Linked DNA regions of Anolis sagrei. The protein of the gene in region 1 purifies or fractionates together with the protein of each later gene. This does not show direct contact. Links are inferred from orthologs where the notes say so. Each region holds a gene or a part of one and is shown in the gene's direction. Other genes may lie near its edges.

What was found.
Region 2: the proteins of NCL (region 1) and RRP1B purify together in Homo sapiens (affinity purification with mass spectrometry; 3 studies listed by BioGRID and IntAct, with this or other methods). This does not show direct contact. The link is inferred for Anolis sagrei from reciprocal best matches to the Homo sapiens genes NCL and RRP1B.
Region 3: the proteins of NCL (region 1) and EBNA1BP2 purify together in Homo sapiens (affinity purification with mass spectrometry; 3 studies listed by BioGRID and IntAct, with this or other methods). This does not show direct contact. The link is inferred for Anolis sagrei from reciprocal best matches to the Homo sapiens genes NCL and EBNA1BP2.

The regions. Positions count from the first base shown.
Region 1 is NC_090023.1:267,120,126-267,127,998, forward strand, and holds the start of NCL (nucleolin), read left to right. Parts: upstream 1-4,798; 5' UTR 4,799-4,939; coding exon 4,940-4,957; intron 4,958-7,873. UniProt on the Homo sapiens protein: Nucleolin is the major nucleolar protein of growing eukaryotic cells. It is found associated with intranucleolar chromatin and pre-ribosomal particles. It induces chromatin decondensation by binding to histone H1.
Region 2 is NC_090023.1:75,837,183-75,845,100, forward strand, and holds the start of RRP1B (ribosomal RNA processing protein 1 homolog B), read left to right. Parts: upstream 1-4,880; 5' UTR 4,881-4,964; coding exon 4,965-5,133; intron 5,134-5,507; coding exon 5,508-5,590; intron 5,591-7,644; coding exon 7,645-7,702; intron 7,703-7,918. UniProt on the Homo sapiens protein: Positively regulates DNA damage-induced apoptosis by acting as a transcriptional coactivator of proapoptotic target genes of the transcriptional activator E2F1.
Region 3 is NC_090024.1:183,206,391-183,213,639, forward strand, and holds the start of EBNA1BP2 (probable rRNA-processing protein EBP2), read left to right. Parts: upstream 1-4,211; 5' UTR 4,212-4,284; intron 4,285-4,814; 5' UTR 4,815-4,854; coding exon 4,855-4,929; intron 4,930-6,164; coding exon 6,165-6,248; intron 6,249-6,955; coding exon 6,956-7,122; intron 7,123-7,249. Other genes in the region: CFAP57 (cilia- and flagella-associated protein 57), read right to left, coding at 580-896, 3,869-4,025. UniProt on the Homo sapiens protein: Required for the processing of the 27S pre-rRNA.

The DNA.
Region 1 (7,873 bases):
AACTACAAGAAAGGAGATTCCATCTGAACATGAGGAAGAACTTCCTGACTGTGAGAGCTGTTAAGCAGTGGAACTCTCTGCCCTGGAGTGTGGTGGAGGCTCCTTCTTTGGAAGCTTTTAAACGGGCTGGATGGCCATCTGTCAGAGGTGATTTGAGTGCAATTTTCCTGCTTCTTGGCAGGGGGTTGGACTGGATGGGCCATGAGGTCTCTTCTAACTCTTTGATTCTATGATTCTATATGTTGACCCTGAGTGAGGGCCGGGTAAATGACCTTGGAGGGCCGCATCTGGCCCCCGGGTCTTAGTTTGAGGACCCCTGATCTGGAATATATGATGTTGTAGAGGGGGCCTGACATGTAGAACCCTTCTACACTTCCTCTATATCCCTGGATTTGATCCCATATTATCTTATCCCAGATTATTTTATTTATCCGCCCTGAGTCGACCCCCTCCCCCTGGGGTTGAGAAGGGCAGGGTACACATATTTGAAATAAAAATAAATATCCCAGATTATATGGCAGTGGATACTTTGGGCCCTTCCACACAGCCATATAACCCAGAATATCAAGGTAGATAATCCACAATACCTGCTTTGAACTGGGTTATCTGAGTCCACATTGCAACATAATCCAGTTCAATGTGGATTTATACAGCTCTGTGGAAGGGACCGCATATAATCCAGTTCAAAGCAGACAACCTGGGATCAGATCCTAGGATATAAGGACAATGTAGTAGGAACATTGGGCTGGATCTACACTGCCATATAAGCAGATCACCCACATTATGTGCTTCAAGCTGGATTATATGACCGATACACCATTCCAAAGCAGATAATCTGGATTTGATGTTCAAGTATCAGTCTTCCAACAGATATGAAAATCCATTCCGAAGCACAGAAAGAAGCCAAATTTGGAAATCAACACCTGCAATTGTGTAAAATCCACATTGAACTGGATTATCAGGCAATGTGGACTCTGGGCCCTTCCACACAGCCATATAACCCAGAATATCAAAACAGAAAACCCCACAATATCTGCTTTGAATTGGGCTGAATCCATACTGCCATATAATCCCGTTCAAAACAGAAAATGTGGGGTTCTATTCAGATGCATGAAAGGGGCCTATGTTTTAAGCCGCCCTGAGTCCCCGCTGCGGAGATAAACAGGGCAGGATAGAAATTAAGTTGCATTCATTCATTATCTGACTTGATATTCTGGGTCGTATGGCTGTGTGAGTCTACACTGCCAGATAACCCAGATCAAAGCAGATATTGTGGATTTGTTTATTTGTTGTTTGTATACACCTTTCTCAGGCCATAGGCGACTCAAGGCAGTTAACAGGGCAAAATTCAATGCTTACAATGTCTTAAATACAATTTAAAAACATAACATATAACAAAAACTAAACAAATCAATAAAATATAAATTCATAGTGTCTCCTTGTTAAAAATGTTGTCCGGACTCATTGTCTAGTCATAGAATCCTAGAGTTGGAAGAGACCTCTTGGGCCATCCAGTCCAACCCCATTCTGCCAAGAAGCAGGAATATTGCATTCAAAGCACTCCTGACAGATGGCCATCCAACCTCTGTTTATAAGCTTCCAAAGAAGAAGCCTCCACCACACTCTGGGCAGAGAGTTCCACTGCTGAACAGCTCTCGCCGTCAGGAAGTTCTTCCTCATGTTCAGATGGAATCTCCTTTCATAGAATCAAAGAGTTGGAAGAGACCTCATGGGCCATCCACTCCAACCCCATTCTGCCAAGAAGCAGGAATATTGCATTCAAATCACCCCTGACAGATGGCCATCCAGCCTCTGTTTAAAAGCTTCCAAAGAAGGAGCCTCCACCACACTCCAGAGCAGAGAGTTCCACTGCTGAACAGCTCTCACAGTCAGGAAGTTCTTCCTCATGTTCAGATGGAATCTCCTCTCTTGTAGTTTGAAGCCATTGTTCCATTGCATCCTAGTCTCCAGGGCAGCAGAAAACAAGCTTGCTACCTCCTCCCTAGGACTTCCTCTCATGGCTATCATGTCTCCTCTCAGCCTTCTTTTCTGCAGGCTAAAAATGCCCAGCTCTTTAGGCCGCTCCTCATAGGGCTTGTTCTCCAGACCCTTGATCATTTTAGTCACCCTCCTCTGGACACATTCCAGCTTGTCGTTCCAGTCGTTCCATTGTCCTATGTCAGTTACTCTGTAATTGCAAACGCTTGTTGACTTTTCTCCAGAATGTTAAAATGGAAGTGGCCGATCTAATATCTATAGGGAGAGTGTTCATCAGCCAAAGAGCCACCACCGAAAAGGCCCTGTCTCTTGTCTCCGCCAAAGGTACTTGTGACGAAGGCGGTAACGAGAGCAGGGCCTCCCCAGACGATCTTAAGGTCCTAGATGATTCATAATGGTAGATGCATTCGGACATGTAAGTTGGGCCAGAACCATTTAGGGCTCTATAGGCTAAAATTGATATGGATATTTATAGGCTAAATTTTGTAAATTAGGCTTTATAGGCTAAAACTGATATTGACATTCAGAGGACCTTTCCACACAGCTGAATAAAATCCCACATTATCTGCTTTGAACCAGATTATATCCACAATATCTGTTCAAAGCAGATATTGTGGATGGTCTGCCATGATATTCTGTGTGGAAGGGCTTAGAACAGGCATGGGCAAACTTGGGCCCTCCAGGTGTTGTGGATTTCAACTCCCACCATTCCTAACAGCCCTCCAGGTGTTTTGGACTCCAACTCTCACCATTCCTAACAGCCTACTGGCTGTTAGGAATGGTGGGAGCTGGAGTCCAAAACACCTGGAGGGCTGTTAGGAATGGTGGCTGTTAGGAATAGTGGGCGTTGGAGTCCAAAACACCTGGAGGGCTGGGTTGTAGTTTTTTTTGGGCTGTATGGCCATGGTCTAGAGCAGAGGTCTTCAAACTAAGGCCCGGGGGCCGGATGTGGCCCTCCAAGGTCATTTACTCGGCCCTCGCTCAGGGTCAACCTAAGTCTGAAACTACTTGAAAGCACACAACAACAACAACAATCCTATTTCATCAGCCAAAAGCAGGCCCACACTTCCCATTGAAATATTAATAAGTTTATATTTGTTAAAATTGTTCTTCATTTTAATTATTGTAGTTTTTTGCACTACAAATAAAATATGTGCTGCGTGCATAATATTCATTCATGTTAGGCCCTCCAACAATTTGAGGTATTGTGATCTGGCCCACTTTTTAAAAAGTATGAGGACCCCTGATCTAGAGGTATTCTCTCCTGAGGTTTCGCCTGCACTTTGGCAAGCATCCTCAGAGGTAGTGAGGTAACAACCTGGAGGGCTGTTAGAATTGTGGCTGTTACAAATTGTGGGAGCTGGAGTCCAAAACACCTGGGGGGTTGTTATGAATTGTGGCTGTTAGGAATGGTGGGAGTTGGAGTCCAAAACACCTGGAGGGGTGTTAGGAATTGTGGCTGTTAGGAATAGTGGGCTTTAAGAGTCCAAAACACCTGGAGGGCTGTTAGGAAATGTGGGAGTTGGAGTCCAAAATACCTGGAGGGCTGTTAGGAATTGTGGCTGTTAGGAATAGTGGGCTTTAAGAGTCCAAAACACCTGGAGGGCTGTTAGGAAATGTGGAGTTGGAGTCCAAAATACCTGGAGGGCTGTTAGGAATTGTGGCTGTTAGGAATAGTGGGCTTTAAGAGTCCAAAACACCTGGAGGGCTGTTAGGAATTGTGGCTGTTAGGAATAGTGGGCTTTAAGAGTCCAAAACACCTGGAGGGCTGTTAGGAATTGTGGGAGTTGGAGTCCAAAACACCTGGAGGGCTGTTAGGAATTGTGGGAGTTAGGAATGGTGGGAGCTGGAGTCCAAAACACCTGGAGAACTGTTAGGAATTGTGGCTGTTAGGAACTGTGGGGGTTGGAGTCCAAAACACCTGGAGGGCTGTTAGGAATGGTAGGAGTTGGAGTCCAAAACACCTTGAGGGCCGTTAGGAATTGTGGCTGTTACAAATTGTGGGAGTTGGAGTCCAAAACACCTGGAGGATTGTTCGGAATGGAGGGAGGTGGGAGTCCAAAACACCTAGAGGGCTGTTAGGAATTGTGACTGTTAGGAATAGTGGGGTTTAAGAGTCCAAAACACCTGGAGGGCTGTTAGGAATGGTGGGAACTGGAGTCCAAAACACCTGGAGGGCTGTTAGGAATTGTGGGAGTTGGAGTCCAAAACACCTAGAGTGCTGTTAGGAATGGTGGGGTCCAAAACACCTAGAGTACTGTTAGGAATGGTGGGGTCCAAAACACCTGGAGGGCTGTTAGGAATTGTGGGAGTTGGAGTCCAAAACACCTAGAGTACTGTTAGGAATGGTGGGGTCCAAAACATCTAGAGTGCTGTTAGGAATGGTGGGAGTTGGGGTCCAAAACACCTGGAGGGCTGTTAGGAATTGTGCCTGTTAGAAATTGTGGGAGTTGGAGTTCAAAACACCTGGAGGGCCCAAGCTTGCCCATGCCTGGCTTACAGACACACAAGAACAAACCGGATCCAGAGCCACAAAATGGGCCGACCCCACGCGGTTGCAGGCAGAGGGCGCCGCCACGTGTTCTCCTTACCACTTCCGTCTCTGCGAAACGGACCTATCAGGAAGCGTAGAATTCCCAGTTTTGTCATCTTATTGGCTCGGCGACGTGTCGTCCCGCCCTCGAGTTCAGGGGCGGTGTCTGATTGGGCGGAGCGAGTCGACGCGGGATTGGTGTGGGGGAAAGCCCGGAGTGGGCGGAGCTTGGGGCTGCGCGGTCTCCCATTGGCTGAGGCGGCAGCGTGGGGCGTGAGGGAGAGCGCGGCGAGCCCTCGACCTCGCTCTTTTCGCTTTTGGCGGAGACTGGAGAGCGCGGCGGTCCCTTCTTTCTCTCTCTCCTTGTAGGCCTCGCTCCACATCCGGGCATCTCCCAGCGCCGCCATCATGGTGAAACTCGCCAAGGTGAGGCTTTGAGGCCTAGCCTCACTCATTTAGAATGGAAGGAAACCCAACGAATGAAGGGGGGAAAGGGTTTTTTTTTAGTAGGCCTTGTGCGCGTGCGCAGCAGTTTCAAGGCCTCCCGTTCCTTCGCTTCTACACAAGCGAGGAGGCAGCAGTTTCAAGACTCCCCTTCTCCCTTTTCCTACTACTTATTTATTTATTTTGGCGCGCAGGCGCAGATCGAAATAGAACGCTCGGCGGTTTCTAGGACTCCCCCCTTTTTTTTCTTCTAAAAGGAAAAGAGCGAGCGCGCGCGCATACGCGCAGGAGTTTCTAGGCGCCCGCGCTCTTTCTTTTTTTCCCCCTTTTCTCTGTGTTGAGCGGCGCGCGCAGCCAACGGAGAGGGGAGGGGCTGGGAGGAAAGAGGAGCGAGCAAGGAGCGGTGTGCGCGCGCACTCTCCCTCTCCCGCCTGCTCTCCCGAAGCCACGTGATCTCAAACCACGTGGGTGATGGAAGGAAGGAAGGAGAGGAAATGCTCAGCCTAGGCCTCGCTTCCGGGGCTTCCACGTGGTTTTCGCGTTCTGCTCAAAAGAAAAAGGGACCCTTAAAAAGACCCTCCAGTCCAACCTGTAATTCTGCCATGCAGGGAATGTACACAAACCTTTGCATTATATTGTACTGTGTTGGCCTTTATATTCCTTGGAAGGGACCCCTAAAGGCCATCCAGTCCAACCCCCTTTTTGGGTTTTGCTCAAAAGAAAAAGAGACCCCTTAAAAAGACCCTCCAGTCCAACCTGTAATTCTGCCATGCAGGGAATGTAAACAAACCTTTGCATTATATTGTACTGTGTTGGCCTTTATATTCCTTGGAAGGGACCCCCAAAGGCCATCCAATCCAACCCTCTCCTGCCATGCAGGGAATTATAGCCTTTTCATATTGTATTGATATTGTAGTGTACTGTGTTGGCCTGTATTAATTGCTCTTTATATTCTTTGGAAGGGGCCCCCCAAAAGCCATCCAGTCCAACCCCTCCTGCCATGCAGGGAATCACAACCTTTTCATATTGTTGTGTTGTATTGTACTTTGTTGGACTGTATTGATAGTACTTTCTAATCCTTGTGAGGGACCCCTAAAGGTCGTACAGTCCAACCCCCTTCTGCTATACAGGGAATTGTATTGTATTGTACTGTGTTGGCCTGTATTAATTGCTCTTTATATTCCTTGGAAGGGATCCCTAAAGGCCACCAGTCCAACCCCCTTCTGCCATGCTGGGAATTACAACCTTTTCATGTTATATTGATAATACTTTCTAATCCTTGTAAAGGACCCCCAAGGCTATTCAGTCCAACCCCCTTCTGCCATGCAGGGAATTATAGCCTTTTAATATTATTGTATTGATAGTACTTTCTAATCCTTGGAAGGGACCCCCAAAGGCCATCCAGTCGAATCCCCTTCTGCCATGCAGGGAATTGTAGTATTATATTGTATTGTACTTTGTTGGTCTGATTTAATTGCTCTTTATATTCCTTGGAAGAGACCCCCCAAAGGCCATTCAATCCAACCCCCTTCTGCCATGCAGGGAATTGTAGTATTATATTGTATTGTACTGTGTTGGCCTATATTAATTGCTCTTTATATTTCATGGAAGGGGCCCCCAAAGGCCATCCAGTCCAACCCCTTCTGCCATACAGGGAATTTTAGTGTTTTATTATATTGTACTGTGTTGATTACCCTTTATATTCCTTGGAAGGGACCCTAAAGGCCATCCAGTCCAACCCTTTCAGCCATGCAGGGAATTACAGCCTTTTCATGGTATTGTATTGTATTTTCTAATTCTTGGAAGGGACCCTAAAGGCCATCCAGTCCAACCCCCTTCTGCCATGCAGGGAATTATAGCCATTTCATATTGATAGTACTTTCTAATCCTTGTAAGGGACCCCCAAAGGCCATCCAGTCCAACCCTTTTCTGCCATACAGGGAATTGTAGTATTATTATATCATATTGTACTGTGTTGATTACCCTTTATATTCCTTGGAAGGGATCCCTAAAGGCCATCCAGTCCAACCCCCTTCTGCCTTGCAGGAAATTGGAACCTTTGCATTGTATTGTACTGTGTTGGCCTGCCTTGATAATGGTTTCTAATCCTTGGAAGGGACCCCCTCCCCCCCAAGGACATCCAGTCTAATCCCCTTCTGCCATGTGCGAAATTTATGTATTGCATTGCACTTTCTAAACCTTGGAAGGGACCCCCAAAGATCATCCAGACCAACCCCTTTCTGCCATGCAGGGAATTTGAACCATTGTATTGTACCATGTTGGCCTGTATTGATTGCCCTTTATATTCCTTGGAAGGACCCCTAAAGGCCATCCACTCCAATCCCCTTCTGCCATACAGGGAATCACAACCTTTTCATATTATTTTATTGCATTGTATCATACTTTGTTGGACTGTATTGATAGTACTTTCTAATCCTTGTAAGGGACCCCCAAAGGCCATCTAATCCAACCCCCTTCTGCCATACAGGGAATTGTAGTATCGTATTGTGTTGGCCTGTATTAATTGCTCTTTATATTCCTTGGAAGTGACCCCCAAAGGCCATCCACTCCAACCCCCTTCTGCCATGTAGGAAATTTTTAGTATTATATTGTACTGTGTTGGCCTGTATTAATTGCCATTTATTTATTTATTTTAAACATTTTAACTGTATCTAAATAGGAATATCTTTATATTCCTTAGAAGGGATCCCCAAAGACCATCCAGTCTAACCCCCTTTTGCCATGCAGAAAATTATAAACTTTGCATTGCATGGCAATTTCAACCTTTACAACCTTTGGCCTGTATTAATTGGCCTTTATATTCCTTGGAAGGGACCCCAAAAGGCCTTCCAGTCCAACCACTCCTGCCATGCAGAGAATCACAATCTTTTCATAATA
Region 2 (7,918 bases), about 190 Mb from region 1:
ACAACCTAAAAGACGGCTTTACACATGGACCTCACCAGACGGTCAACACCGAAATCAGATTGACTACATCCTTTGCAGCCAAAGGTGGCGGACATCCATCCAGTCGGTGAAAACAAGACCTGGGGCTGACTGTAGCTCAGATCACGAACTTCTTATTGCCCAATTTAGAATAAAACTAAAGAGATCAGGGAAAATACACAGACCAGTTAGATATGATCTCACTAACATTCCTAGCGAATATACAGTGGAAGTGAAGAACAGATTTGAAGGACTAGATTTAGTAAACAGAGTCCCAGAAGAACTATGGACAGAAGTCCGAGACATTGTTCAGGAGGCGGCAACAAAGTACGTCCCAAAGAAAAGGAAAACCAAGAAGGCAAAATGGTTGTCTGCTGAGACACTGGAAGTAGCCCAAGAAAGGAGGAAAGCAAAAGGAAACAGTGAAAAGGGGAGATATGCCCAGTTAAATGCGCAATTCCAGAGGTTAGCCAGAAGAGATAAGGAACTATTTTTAAATAAGCAATGCATGGAAGTGGAAGAAGACAACAGAATAGGAAGGACAAGAGACCTCTTCCAGAAAATTAGAAACATTGGAGGTAAATTTCAGGCAAAAATTGGTATGATAAGAAACAAAGATGGCAGGGACCTAACAGAAGCTGAAGAGATCAAGAGAAGGTGGCGAGACTATACAGAAGATCTGTATAGGAAGGATAACAATATCGAGGATAGCTTTGACGGTGTGGTGAATGAATTAGAACCAGACATCTTGAGGAGTGAGGTTGAATGGGCCTTAAGAAGCATTGCTAACAACAAGGCAGCAGGAGATGATGGGATCCCAGCTGAACTGTTTAAAATCTTAAAAGATGATGCTGTCAAGGTGATGCATGCCATATGCCAGCAAATATGGAAAACACAAGAATGGCCATCAGACTGGAAAAAATCAACTTATATCCCCATACCAAAAAAGGGAAATGCGAAAGACTGCTCAAACTTCCGTACAGTGGCCCTTATTTCTCATGCCAGTAAGGTAATGCTCAAGATCCTGCAAGGAAGACTCCAGCAATACATGGAGCGAGAGTTGCCAGATGTTCAAGCTGGGTTTAGAAAAGGCAGAGGAACGAGAGACCAGATTGCCAATATCCGCTGGATAATGGAGAAAAGCAGGGAGTTTCAGAAAAACTTCTGCTTCATTGACTATTCTAAAGCCTTTGACTGTGTGGATCATAATAAATTGTGGCAAGTTCTTGGTGGGATGGGCATCCCAAGCCACCTTGTCTCTCTCCTGAGGAATCTGTACAAGGACCAAGTAGCAACAGTCAGAACTGACCACGGAACAACAGACTGGTTCAAGATTGGGAAAGGCGTACGGCAAGGCTGCATCCTCTCACCCAACCTTTTTAACTTGTATGCAGAACACATCATGCGATGTGCGGGGCTGGATGAATGCAAAGCTGGGGTGAAAATTGCTGGAAGAAACATTAACAACCTCAGATATGCAGGTGACACCACTCTGATGGCCGAAAGCGAGGAGGAGCTGAGGAGCCTTCTAATCAAGGTGAAAGAAGAAAGCGCAAAAGCCGGGTTGCAGCTAAACGTCAAAAAAACCAAGATTATGGCAACAAGAATGATTGACAACTGGAAAATAGAGGGAGAAACCGTGGAGGCCGTGACAGACTTTGTATTTCTAGGTGCAAAGATTACTGCAGATGCAGACTGTGGCCAGGAAATCAGAAGACGCTTACTTCTTGGGAGGAGAGCAATGTCCAGTCTCGATGCTTTTGAGCTGTGGTGTTGGAGGAAAGTGCTGAGAGTGCCTTGGACTGCGAGAAGATCCAACCAGTCCATCCTCCAGGAAATAAAGCCCGACTGCTCACTGGAGGGAAAGATACTAGAGACAAAGTTGAAGTACTTTGGCCACATCATGAGGAGACAGGAAAGCCTAGAGAAGACAATTATGCTGGGGAAAGTGGAAGGCAAAAGGAAGAGGGGCCGACCAAGGGCAAGATGGATGGATGGCATCCTTGAAGTGACTGGACTGACCTTGAGGGAGCTGGGGGTGGTAACGGCCGACAGGGAGCTCTGGCGTAGGCTGGTCCATGAGGTCACGAAGAGTCGGAGACGACTGAATGAATGAACAAAAAAAAAAGTGAAACGCTAAAGAATGATCAAACTTTCGTACAGTGGCCCTTATTTCACATGCCAGCAAGGTAATGCTCAAGATCCTGCAAGGAAGACTCCAGCAAAACATGGAGAGAGAGTTGCCAGATGAACAAGCTGGGTTTAGAAAAGGCGGCAGAACAATTATTTATTTATTTATTTATTTATTTATGGTATTTATATCCTGTCTCTTCTCTACCCGAAAGGGGGACTCAGGACGGCTTACATTGGCAGCAAGTCGATGCCGTTACATGAATATCTAATGCAATAACCATTAAACAAAACCATCAAACCATTACAATACATAAAATACATAAGCCATTAATTAAACAGTATAAAATCTTAATTACCAATAAAACCGTATCCTCATGTAAATCGACTTTCCAGTCCATTTCAACCAAAGTGCTGCTTTATGTCTGCTGACCAAAGGCCTGGTTCCACAACCACAATTTTACTTTCTTCCTGAAAGCCAGGAGGGATGGGGTCGAGAAGGCCCTGTCCCTCGTCCCCACCAGCCACATTTGCAATGTTGGTGGAAGCGAGAAGCAGAGCCTCCCCGGGTGATCTTAGGTTACGAGGTGGGACGTAGAGGCAGATGCGTTCAGACAAGTTTTTTTTTTTCGTGTCAGGAGCAACCGCTCCTGTTGTGAGAGAATTGGACGTCTGCAAGGACGTTGCCCAGGGGACGCCTGGATGATTTTTTTTTGATGTTTTATCATCCTTGTGGGAGGCTTCTCTCATGTCCCCGCATGAGGAGCTGGAGCTAATAGAGGGAGCTCATCCGCCTCTCCCCGGATTCGAACCTGTGACCTGTCGATCTTCAGTCCTGCCGGCACAGTTCAGACAAGTAAGTTGGGCCAGAACCACTGCCAATATCCGCTGGATAATGGAGAAAGACAGGGAGTATCACAAAAACATCTATTTCTGTTTTATTGACTATTCTAAAGCCTTTGACTGTGTGGATCATAATAAATTGTAGCATATTCTTGGATGTATGGGGATACCAAGCCTGTCTCCTGAGAAATCTGTATAACGACCAAAAACAGCAGAATAGACCACAGAACAACTGACTGGTTCAAGATTTGGAAAGGAGTATGCAGGGCTTTATACTCCCACCCTACCTATTCAACTTGTATGCATAACACATGCGGCATGCGAGGCTTGACCAATCCAAGGCTAGAGTTAACATTTCTGGAAGAAACATTAACAACCTTAAATATGCAGATGATACCACTTTATGGCTGAAAGCAAGGAGCAGCTGAGGAGCCTTATAACCAAGGTGAAAGAAGAAACTGGTTGATACCTGGCAAATAGAGGGAGAAAATGTGGAGGCAGTGACAGACTTTGTATTTCTAGGCACAAAGATGACTGCAGACACAGACTGCAGCCAGGAAATCAGATGTCTCCTTCTTGGGAGGATAGCAATGACCAATCTTGCTAAGAGTAGAGACATGTGGTGCTCATCTCCATTTCTAAGACATGTTTCCCTATGTGTCCGTAGACACCTCCAAGGTCATGTGGCCGGTATGACTTCATGGAGCGCCGTTACCTTCCCGCCGAAGCGGTACCTATTGATCTATTCACATTTGCATGTTTTCGAACTGCTAGGTTGGCAGAAGCTAGGGCTGACAGTGGAAGCTCACGCCACTCTCCGGAATTGAACCTGTGACCTTTCGGTCAACAAGTTCAGCAGCTCAGTGCTTTAACCCACTGCGCCACCGGGGGCTCATTTAGATTATACTACTGCAACGCTCTCTACGTGGGGTTGCCCTTGAAGACGGCTCGGAAGCTCCAATTAGTCCAACGGGTGGCAGCCATGATACTAACGGGAGCGGAGCGCAGGGAGCATACAACTCCTCTGCTGCACCAGCTCCACTGGCTGCCGATCTGCTACCGGGCCCAATTCAAGGTTGGCCTTTAAAGCCCTAAACGGTTCTGGCCCAACTTACCTATCCGAACATATCTCGGCCTATCAGCCCACCAGGACCCTAAGATCTTCTGGGGAGGCTCTGCTCTCCATCCCGCCTGCTTCACAGGTGCGGCTTGCGGGAACGAGAGACAGAGCCTTTTCTGTGGTGGCCCCTCGGCTTTGGAACGCCCTCCCCATAGAGGTAAGATCAGCCCCCTCGCTGATGGTGTTTCGGAAAAGATTGAAGACATGGATGTTCAAACAAGCATTCGGTTAATCCGGTGCAAAGAAATTGATGATTAAGGACTGGTAATCATGGACGATGAAATTGGACTACGATTCTAGTTAAGAGATGCATTGGATTGTATTGGTGGCCCAATACTATGTATTGTATGTTGTTTTTATGCTTTTTAAACTGAATATTGTTGATTGTTTGTAGAGTTGTAAACCGCGTTGAGTCGCCAATTTTGGCTGAGAAACGGCGATATACAAGCGCAGTAATAAATAAATAAATATTATAGATATAGTACAACATTGATTTCATCCAAAGAGGAATAAAAATTATTTATATATGTGTGTGTGTGTGTAGTAGAGCATTTCCATTCCACTTTGGGTGGAATTAATGCAGTTTGACACCAGATTAAGAAGGTTTCTCAGTCAAACTATGAATCTATAGAAATGGCTTGAAGATACACAACTAGCAGAGCCATCGCTCAACTGCCCTCCGCGCACGCGCAGCAAGGCCCTCTTGAAAACGAGCCGGGTTACGTAAAACGCTCGCGACAGAGAGGTTCTATGTCGTCATCCGCAGGCGCTTGATGCAACGGCCTGGCCCCGCCCCCGGGGGCGTTGCGTTGCGTTCCGCAAGGAGGAGGAGGAGGGCGATGCTCGGCCGCGAATGATGGCTCCCGCCGCCGTTGCGTCCTCCTCTTCCTCTTCTCCTGCCGCCGCGCAGGCTCCGGAGATCCAGTTCGCCCAGCGGCTGGCCGCCAACGAGAAGCGGATCCGGGACCGGGCGCTGAAGAAGCTGCGGGGCTACATCACGCTCCGGACCCAGAACCCGGCCGGTGAGAGGCGCGGGGAGCACGTGGAGGAGTCTGCCCTGTCAGCTACGTTGGTCTAGAGCAGGCATGAGCCAACTCGGGGCCTCCAGGTGTTTTGGACTCCAACTCCCACCATTCCTCACAGCCTCAGGACCCTTTCTTTTCCCCCTCAGCCGCTTAAGAAAGGGGCCTGAGGCTGTGAGGAATGGTGGGAGTTGGAGTCCAAAACACCTGGAGGCCCCAAGTTGTCCCTTGCCTGCCCTAGAGTCTTATTGAATATCCCCTTATACAAAATTATCAAGCCACACGTTATCCTATGATATATAGATACACATTATGTGAAGCACTTGGAAATTTGTGGCTTTCTCTAATGCTCAGTTTGCTTTTGGTGCCTTCAGGGAGCTTCAGTGAAGAAGAATTATTGAAAATATGGAAAGGCCTGTTTTACTGCATGTGGATGCAGGATAAACCCCTCCTTCAGGTAGGCCAACAGAAATGTCAATGCAAAATTGTAATACAAAGATGTAATTACGCTGTTTGTTAATGTGTAGTCAATTGCTATGCCTCTTTCCTAGAAAATAAATCTTTCACGTTCTATGCAGAGGCTTCTCTCTGGGGCTGCCCTGATTTTGGAATATTTTCTCCATGATAGCTCTTTAAGGAGTGAATTTCCCTTCCAAGGGGTAGATTTCTCTCACTTCCTGTTGTCTCGCCCCGTTTGTAACTAGGAGTCATATGTAGGTTGGATATCTGTATCTCATGGATTTCCTGTATTTCAAAATAATTTTTAAAAACCTGAAATGTGTAATATATTTCAGGGGAACAACCTCCCTGAGTCTCTTCGAGGAGAGAAGTGGTGTAAAAATAGAATTTTATTATTTTATTGTTATTGCATGTCAAGTCCCGAGCATTTCACAGAAGGAATACTGAACCTGTGTAAGGTCTATTATTTTTTTATTTATTTGCAACTTTTGTATCCCGATCTTCTCTACCTCCGTAGAGGGACTTAGACCAACTAACAGCAAGGATTCAATGCTAACAGTACAATCTAAAACATCATTCATCAACAATAGATTAAAATACATATAGAATAAAATACATATAAGCCAATTCACCAAGATAAAATCATGTCCAACTAGGTCCTCATATGTGGTCAATAACTTTAGTCTATTGCTGGTCTTGGCCATTATTCTGGGAATGCTTCATTCCATAGCCTGGATTTCACTAGCTTCCTGAAGGTCAGGAGGCAGGGGGCAGATCTGATCTCATTCGGGAGAGAATTCTATAGCCGGGGGCCACCACAGAAAAGCCCCCGTCTCTCGTTCCCACCTGGCGCGATTGCAAAATTGGCGGGACCGAGAGCAAGGGCCCCTCCAGAAGATCTTAACAGCCTTGATGGTTCATAGGGGAGAAGATGTTCGGACAGGTAAATTGGGCTGGGATCGTATAGGGTTTTGTAGATTAAAACCAGCACTTTGAATTGTGCTCAGAAGCTAATTGGCAGCCAGTGGAGCTGGCGCAACAAAGGAGTTGTGGGCTCCCTGTACCCTGTCTAAGCTATCTCCAGCTTTATTGGTGCTAGGATAGATAAATCTGTTTATCCCATTGGTTTATGGCATATTATTTATCACTACAAACATGCCTCAGCAATATGTTCCCATGTATCCTGAAATATGAAGGCCTGTAGATCTGGCATTGTATATGCATAAAGGAAGAAATAACTGTTTACTTTTACCTAGGCATTAAATAAAGAATTTTTTCTAATTTAAATTTCTTAAGTCACTATGATACAATACATTAATATGCGTTATGTTTTTGGGGGAAAGGGTTCCAAGAGTAGACTTGATATTTCTGTGGGATGAATTGTAAAGTGTGTGTATGTGTTAGCTACGGATCAAGTCTGCCTAGCCCTAATCTTTTGGTTGGATCTCTATCATTTTATTCCCAGCCCTGGCCCTACAGTTTGCACAAGCCCTTCTCCTGCCTTATTAGTCTCATATCTGCACATGCCCACTTTTTCCGGCTACTGGTTGTTTGTTATGTTTATGTTTTATGATGTCTTGCATTTTATTGGTTTTATTGTTTTAATATAGTTGACTGTTATATGTTTTTAATTGTGCTACTTTGTAATCTTTGTTTATAATGGGCTTGATCCACATATAAGCCGCCCCAAGTCCCTTCGGGGATATGAAGGCTGGATATAAGAATAAAGTTATTATATTATTATAGCGACTCCAGAATTTGAAAGTACATCTGTAGCTTCAGTTTCTTGTAGTCGCATATGCTGTTTCTGGATCTGTCATTCCACGCAGTTTAGGCTTCATATTCAGTCTTCTGCTCTCTCCTCTTTCAGATTGTTTTTACATGTGACTGAAAAGCCTGGTTTAATTGACTTGATTTTGGTGTAATTGACTTTGTTTTTTGATTATTTAATTGGAAGAAATTCACAAAGGGCTGTTTATGTTTGGGTTTTTATTTCAAAAGGAAGAGGAATCTACTTCTGCAGTATAGTATACTAAAATTCTCTTTCTTTAGGAGGCTTTATCAAACAATATATCCCAGCTTGTACATGTCATCGAGAATATGGATGCTAGTAAGTACATTTATTTATTTTTCTTGTGTATTCAGTGGCTTCTAGTCGAGGTTCTTTCATGTTGTGGTGACAAACACTTCATGAATAAATCCAGCTTGGTTCTTTAGGTCGTGCTTTAAATAATAAACTTTATTTATAGACCGCCCTATCTCCCCGAAGGGACTTAGGGTGGTTTCCAATAAATATGGCAAATATTCAATGTCCAAAGAAAACCAT
Region 3 (7,249 bases), on another chromosome or scaffold:
GCACCCAAGGACTGAACCGGAACTATGGAAATCTCTACTTTTCTATACCTGAGATATTCCATTAGAAATGTTTACACATAATGCCAATTTCATGAGCAGAGCCGAGCCATCATCAAAATGACTAACCTAAGGCAGCTTCATATACTGGAATTTCTAGACTGGATTGTTAGTGCTTTGAAATCTGTCCTGCGCTTCTTTATAGTGATGGGGTTCTATCACAACAATCTCAAACCGAGACCTAATTCTAGGTTTGGACTATTTTGGGGACATGCAATTTATGAACAAAGACTACTGGATATACATTCAGTAACTGGAAGAGCAGGACAGTACTGCCTTAAGTGTAACTGCTGATCTAAAATATGTGTGTACCCTGCCTTCTGAGTACAGGAAAACATTGTGCAAAAGGAAGTTTGGAGCTTGGATTTCATGTTAACACCATTGTAACAATCACAGCTTCACTAACTGTGGTCTCCAATTGTGAAAAAGTATTCATTGAAGTAATAATGCAGTGAGAGTAAGTACCTGAGTATTATTTAAATGTGGCCTACCCAGGATATTCATCTTTGTCTTTCATCTTACCTGATAGAGGGGATTGTTCTGAGCATCAACCTTAATAATAGCCATTGTTCTTTGCTTTTCCCACATCCAATAGGCAAGGTGTGAATCAGGGGCCCCTGTCTGTGCCACTAGATACTTAGAATCCGGGGAAAATGCCAGGCTGATAAATTCTTGGACAGAGAAATCAAAGGAGTTCAGGACCTTTCGTTTCTTGCATGGGACAGAGGACAGTTCATAAACTGTGATAGTAGGTTTATCCTGGAGTGTCTCTGAAATGGCCAGATAGCGCCGATTTGGACTAATTGCCAGTGCAAGCATCCCTTGACTTTTCTCTGAGCCTGTAAAGCAAACACACATGTGCACATACAAGCAAAACTTCCATGAGCATAACCTGGAAACTTAAACATTTTTGTTATCCAAAATGACAATAAATCAATGCATGTTGGTATTGTATGGGAGACTGCCAATGAATATCAGGTGTGTGGGTTACATTTCAAAGGAAGGAACTGGCAGAACCATATCTACGGGTACAGCTACACTGTAAAATGCAGATAGTTTGACATCACTTTAATTGCCATAGTTCAATGCAATTGAACCACCAATTCACAGCAATGATGGGGGAAATCTTCAATGCATTAGACTAGGGCAGGCATGGGCAAACATCTGCCCTCCCAGTGTTTTGGACTTCAACTCCCACAATTCCTAACAGCCTACTGGCTGACAGGCACAACCTGGGGATCACAACCAGATACAGTGAAGACATCTGCCCTTGCACTTTGCTACGCTGCTGCTGAGTATGCAGGCCCAGTGTGGAACACATCTCACCACGCTAAATCAGTGGCTCTTAATGAGACATGCTGCATTATCACGGGGTGTCTGCGCCCTACACCATTGGAGAAATTACACTGTTTAGCCAGTATTGCACCACCTGACATCCGCCGGGAAGTAGCAACCAATAGTGAAAGGACCACGGCAGTAACATCTCCGGCCCATCCCCTGTTTGGATGTCAGCTAGCACGCCAACGCCTTAAATCAAGAAATAGTTTTGTAAGATCTACAGAGACACTTACTGGAACACCTAAGCAAACGAGAGTCCAAAAGTGGCAGGCTAAAATCCAGAACCTCAATTAATGGCTGATACCATGAGAGACTCTCTCCTGGGCACACAGAAGACTAGGCAACATGGAAGGCACTGAATGGACTGTGCTCTGGCACCACGAGATGCAGAGCCAACCTTAAGAAATGGGGCTACAAAGTGGAGTCCACGAGTGTGGAGAAGAGCAAACCACAGACCACCTACTACAATGCAACCTGAGCCCTGCCACATGCACAATGGAGAACCTTCTTATAGTAACACCTAAGACACTCCAAGTGGCCAGCTACTGGTCAAACAACATTTAATAGAATACCAAGTCTGCAAACTTTGTGTAAAATACAATACAACCTTTTGGTTCGCTCCTGACACGATAAATAAATACCAGTTGTTAGGAATTGTAGGAGTTGCAGTCCAAAATAACTGGAGGGCTGAAGTTTGCCCATGCTGGGACTAGAGCAGTATGTATACTGAAACAGACTGGAAAAGGCCCACTCCACCCTGTGCCTTTCCAGAATAGGAAAACTCCAATAACAAGTCCCAGAAGCACTTTATTAGAATTAAGATTGCTGGCACACTGCACTTACTCTATAATCCTTACATATCACCTGTCACTTCAGCACTTTTGATCTGTACCCATTACTCTGGCCCGGCCCAGTGTCTTGGTGTATTGCTTATTGCTTGTTGTGTAATTCTGCTTTAACTGTTTTTAATTTTTTAATTTGCTTTAGGTTGTGTATTGTTATGTTGTGTTTTGAGGCCTTGGCCTTTGTAAGCCCCATCGAGTCGTTCGGGAGATGCTAGCGGGGTACAAATAAAGTTAATAATAATAATAATAATAATAATAATAATAGCCTCTGGAAACACACTCACCAGTGACTTAAAATATTAACTTGTTGAATAGACAGCAGAAGGCAAAACAGAACTGCCTCTGAGTTCTGAACAGGGGCAGATTTTGGCATCCCTTTTGGGAAAAATAGCATTCATCAGGTCTTTTTCCTCTACACTGTGATTGCTTCCATTCACTTACACCCTACTCGCTTACACTCTCTGTCTGGGTCCAGCCCCCCAGCCCCAGCCCATTTCCAAAGGGGAATGTAGTATGTAGTACAGTGGTTCTCAACCTGTGGGTCCCCAGGTGTTTTGGCTTACAACTCCCAGAAATCCCAGTCAGTTTACCAGCTGTTAGGATTTCTGGGAGTTGAAGGCCAAAAACATCTGGGGACCCCAGGTTGAGAACCACTGGACTAGAGGAATGTGATGAAACACAGAGGTGTGGTGATACAGTGTTATCCAAAGGAAGTAGGATAATTAGGGGGTAAATATCAACAGATTGGGGCTGGATATACTCTGCAATATCAAACAGCTTGGAACTGCATTATATGGCCAGCTAGACATTGAACTGCATGATATGATAGGTTTACACTGAATATGTAAGAGCTGGACCTTAGGGAAGGCTGAGCGAAGGAAGATCGATGCTTTTGAGCTGTGGTGTTGGAGGAAAGTCCTGAGAGTGCCTTGGACTGCGAGAAGATCCAACCAGTCCATCCTCCAGGAAATAAAGCCCGACTGCTCATTGGAGGGAAGGATACTAGAGACCAAGTTGAAGTACTTTGGCCACATGATGAGGAGACAGCAAAGCCTAGAGAAGACAATTATGCTGGGGAAAGTGGAAGGCAAAAGGAAGAGGGGCCGACCAAGGGCAAGATGGATGGATGGCATCCTTGAAGTGACTGGACTGACCTTGAAGGAGCTGGGGGTGGTGACGGCCGACAGGGAGCTCTGGCGTGGGCTGGTCCATGAGGTCACGAAGAGTCGGACTGAATGAATGAACAACACCACACTGAATGTGAAATTTGTAGAATAGTTTTAGTAGTTGTGTGTTTGTTTTAGATTTAGTTTTGTTAGATGTCATAGTTTTAGTGGCTGAGAGGGAAAAGCAAGGGGCCTGAGACTGTTAGGAATTGTGGGAGCTGAAGTCCAAAACACCTGGAGTGCCGAAGCTTGCCCATGCCTGATGGAGATGGATTAAAACAGTGGTTCTTAACCTGTGGGTCCCCAGGTGTTTTGGCCTACAACTCCCAGAAATCCCAGCTGTTAGGATCTAACTGCTGCTACGATCTCTGGGAGCTGAAGGCCAAAACACCTGGGGACCCACAGGTTGAGAACCACTGGATGAAAACATCAATACACCTGGAGGGAGGTGGCTAGATTTACCTGGGATGAACTTCTGCCATTTCTGCTCAATGTGATACTTCACGCAGCTATTCCCCGCGGGGTACACTATGATCTGCTCGTCAAAGAAACAAATGTTATTGGCCACGCGAGACTGGAAGCCAAAGATGTGCAGCGCTTGGGCCACGATCACCGACATGGCGCCGCAGGTTCGGAGCCTGTGCCGGAAAAACGAGAGCAACCACCGCCTGACAGTCCGTCTCGGCCTCGCTTGCTCTGTCTGCAGCCTTGAGTCGACCAGGGAGACAACGCTTTACAGCCGGTTGCTATGGCAACAGCGTCCCGGATGTAGCACCCTCGAAAAAGATGGCCGAAACGAATCGGAAATGTCCCGTAGGACGTCACATCCGTACCGGAAGTAGCTGTTGTATGGTTTCCTCGTGTTCAGTCGGTGGGAGGTAAGTGTGCTTCTAACAGGCTGGGGTAAACTTCGGCCCTCCAGGTGTTTTGGACTGCAACTCCCACCATTCCTAACAGCCGGTAGGCTGTTAGGAATGGTGGGAGTTGTAGTCCAAAACACCTGGAGGGCCAAAGTTTGCCCATGCCTCGCATAGAGTGCAGTTTAAGACTAAAGCGATATTGAACTGCGTTAATTCTACAGTGTAGATGCACCCTGTTTCCAAAATTGGGGAGGAAACAGTTCAGACTAACTTTATACAAAGATAGTATTTTTTTTTCAACCTATACAACATTTAATCACCTATCTTTCTTACTCTAGTCTGAATGAATCATAATGGGATGCATATTTATTATTAGCGATGGTTAGATTGGATTTTTATGGTATATACCTGTATTGGCCAGTATTTTGGATTGCTTGCATTAATAAGTTGTTTTGATCTCGTGCATTTAGGTTATTTGTGCAGTTACTCCCATTTTAGCTCATGTTCCTGGGGGATGGAATGTGTTTTCTAACTATTTTGCCTTTCAGTGCAGCTTAGTTGAATCCAGTTATCATAAAAGGATCTGAGATGCCCCACATGGAAATGGACGAAGATTGGTCGTCGTCCTCAGATTCGGATGAGTCTCTTGTTACAGACCGTGAGGTGAGTTTGGACTGTTATTGTTTGTTCTGTGCAGGAGTGGGGGCGGGCCACTTTTTCTCTCTTAGGGGCATGGCTGAGTAGGGGATCTGATAATATACTGTTTCCCAAACTTTGGTTCTCCAGGTGTTTTGGACTTCAGCTCCCACAAGTCCTAACTGATGGTAAAATGGTTGGGATTTCTGGGTGTTGAAGTCCAAAACACCCGGAGGACCAAAGGTTGAAAACCACTGTGATAAACTAGTGACGTAAAGGACTGAGAGTTGTAGATGAGTTCCATATCAGTTTGGGATTGGCCCTGGTAACCATTTCTCTTCATAGGCTGCGATGGAAGGCCATTTTTTCATCTTGTTTAGAGCAAGGATGCTACATTGTTGTAATAGCTGTGTGTAGGATGCACAACTTCATTTCACAGTAATAGAAGCTGGAAACTGTATTTAAATATATCAATAACACCTAATGATATTTCATCTTTATGAACAATATTTTAAAGGTGCAAAGAACTTTATGTAGATTATCTCGATTAGAATAATAATAATAATAATAATAATAATACTTTATTTGTACCCCACTACCATCTCCCCAAGGGACTCGGTGTGGCTTACATGAGGCCGAGCCCAAAATACATCAATACAAGCAATAACAACAAAAATAAAAACAATTAAAATAAAGCTCATAAACAAAAAAGCAATAAACAGTGACAGTAATACAACACACATTTAAAATCTATGGCTGGGCCAAATCAAAGTTTAAAAAAAATAATGTTAGGCATGAACAAGATAGGAGAGAATATCCGATTAAATAGTGTTATTTTTGTATTAAAGGCAAGAAACGGAGTATGAAAGAACCTCATTGTGTCAAAACTTGAGGAAAAAAGATTTGACCAAGTGTCCACCAAATGACAATGCAGTGTCAGAACATGTCAATATAAAATAGATTTCTGCATTGACTATTTGGAACTGGAATGTGTGGTTTGGTCCTTCAGATAGTCAACTGCAATTTCCTTTCCCCCTAATTAGCATACCTTGTGGAGAAAAATTATGTGAATTGTAGTCTAATGACATCTGGAAGACTACATTATATCTTTTGATCATTCTCCTCATTCTCCTTATGTTTCTATGTATTGAGCATTTACACATTCCTTTCCGTTATCAAAGGGGTGACTAAATAAGCTTTTTTGATATTTGTGTATGGTAACACTATCCAAGAAAATGTACATATAAGATTTCTTTATGTAGCTCCAGCAGGCGTTTTCTAAAGGATCACTAAAGCCAGGCTTAAATGTTGTGCTTGAGGGACGGCCGAAAATTATCAACAATGTGGTGAGTCCTGTATGACTGTGACCCATGTGGAATCAGTTCATGTGTGTGGTTCATCTACTTCTCCAAGTGGAACATTTTGATTACTGAAAAAAACCCCAGTATTTTGCCAGAATGAAGTCATTGCAAATAAACTCCGGATGGTATTGAACTGGAGGTGGGGGTCATTTAAATACATTGGTATCTATTTGCTACACATAGCAAAATCAATTTGAAACATTCTGTCAAGGATATAAAATGTGGTCATTTATTCTTTTTCTTCAAGACAGAGAAGCTTGCATCAATTTCTGTTGATGTTGTCCTTGTTGAGGCAGAAGCACCTTCATTTTTGCTTATAGCTTATGACTAGGAAAAGCTTTTATTTTTAAAAAAACCTGGTGTCTCCTTGGCTAGGAAGCAGTAAATACAGTGTGTGATATCTAATGGGAATCTTAAGGGAATGCTTTTATCAGCATAAGATCTAGTTGATGGTTTTAGGGATGGGTGGGGATTTTCATACGATTGTTTTAGTTGTCATGACAGCACAGCCTTTCCCCAAGGTGCTGCACTAGAATCTACATCATGCAGATCTAGCATGGCCAATATTGGCTGAACATGTTGGAAGAAGTTGTAGTTCAACATGTGTGAAGAGCACTAGGTTGGAAAAAACTATTAAATAGTGTATGGAAGTTCTTTGTATTACTCTAATCCTCACATCATATTCTTCCTAGAATGGACTGAAGCAGTGCTTATCTGAGTTCCAGAGGGACTTGGACTGGGTTGAAAGGCTTGATCTTACCTCTTACCTGCCAACAAACACCACGAGTGCTCCTTCTAATCAAACCACTGACAATGATGCTGATGATCCTGAGGATGACTTCAAAAGAGAAATGAGTTTGTAAGTCTATTTCTTCTTGAGTTTCCTCACTGTAATTGGAAGCTTTGTGTGTTGTATTTTATTTATCCTCTTAACATAACAAAAGTTGGAACCCTAAGTTAAACCCTTGTGCCAGCTGAACTGGTTG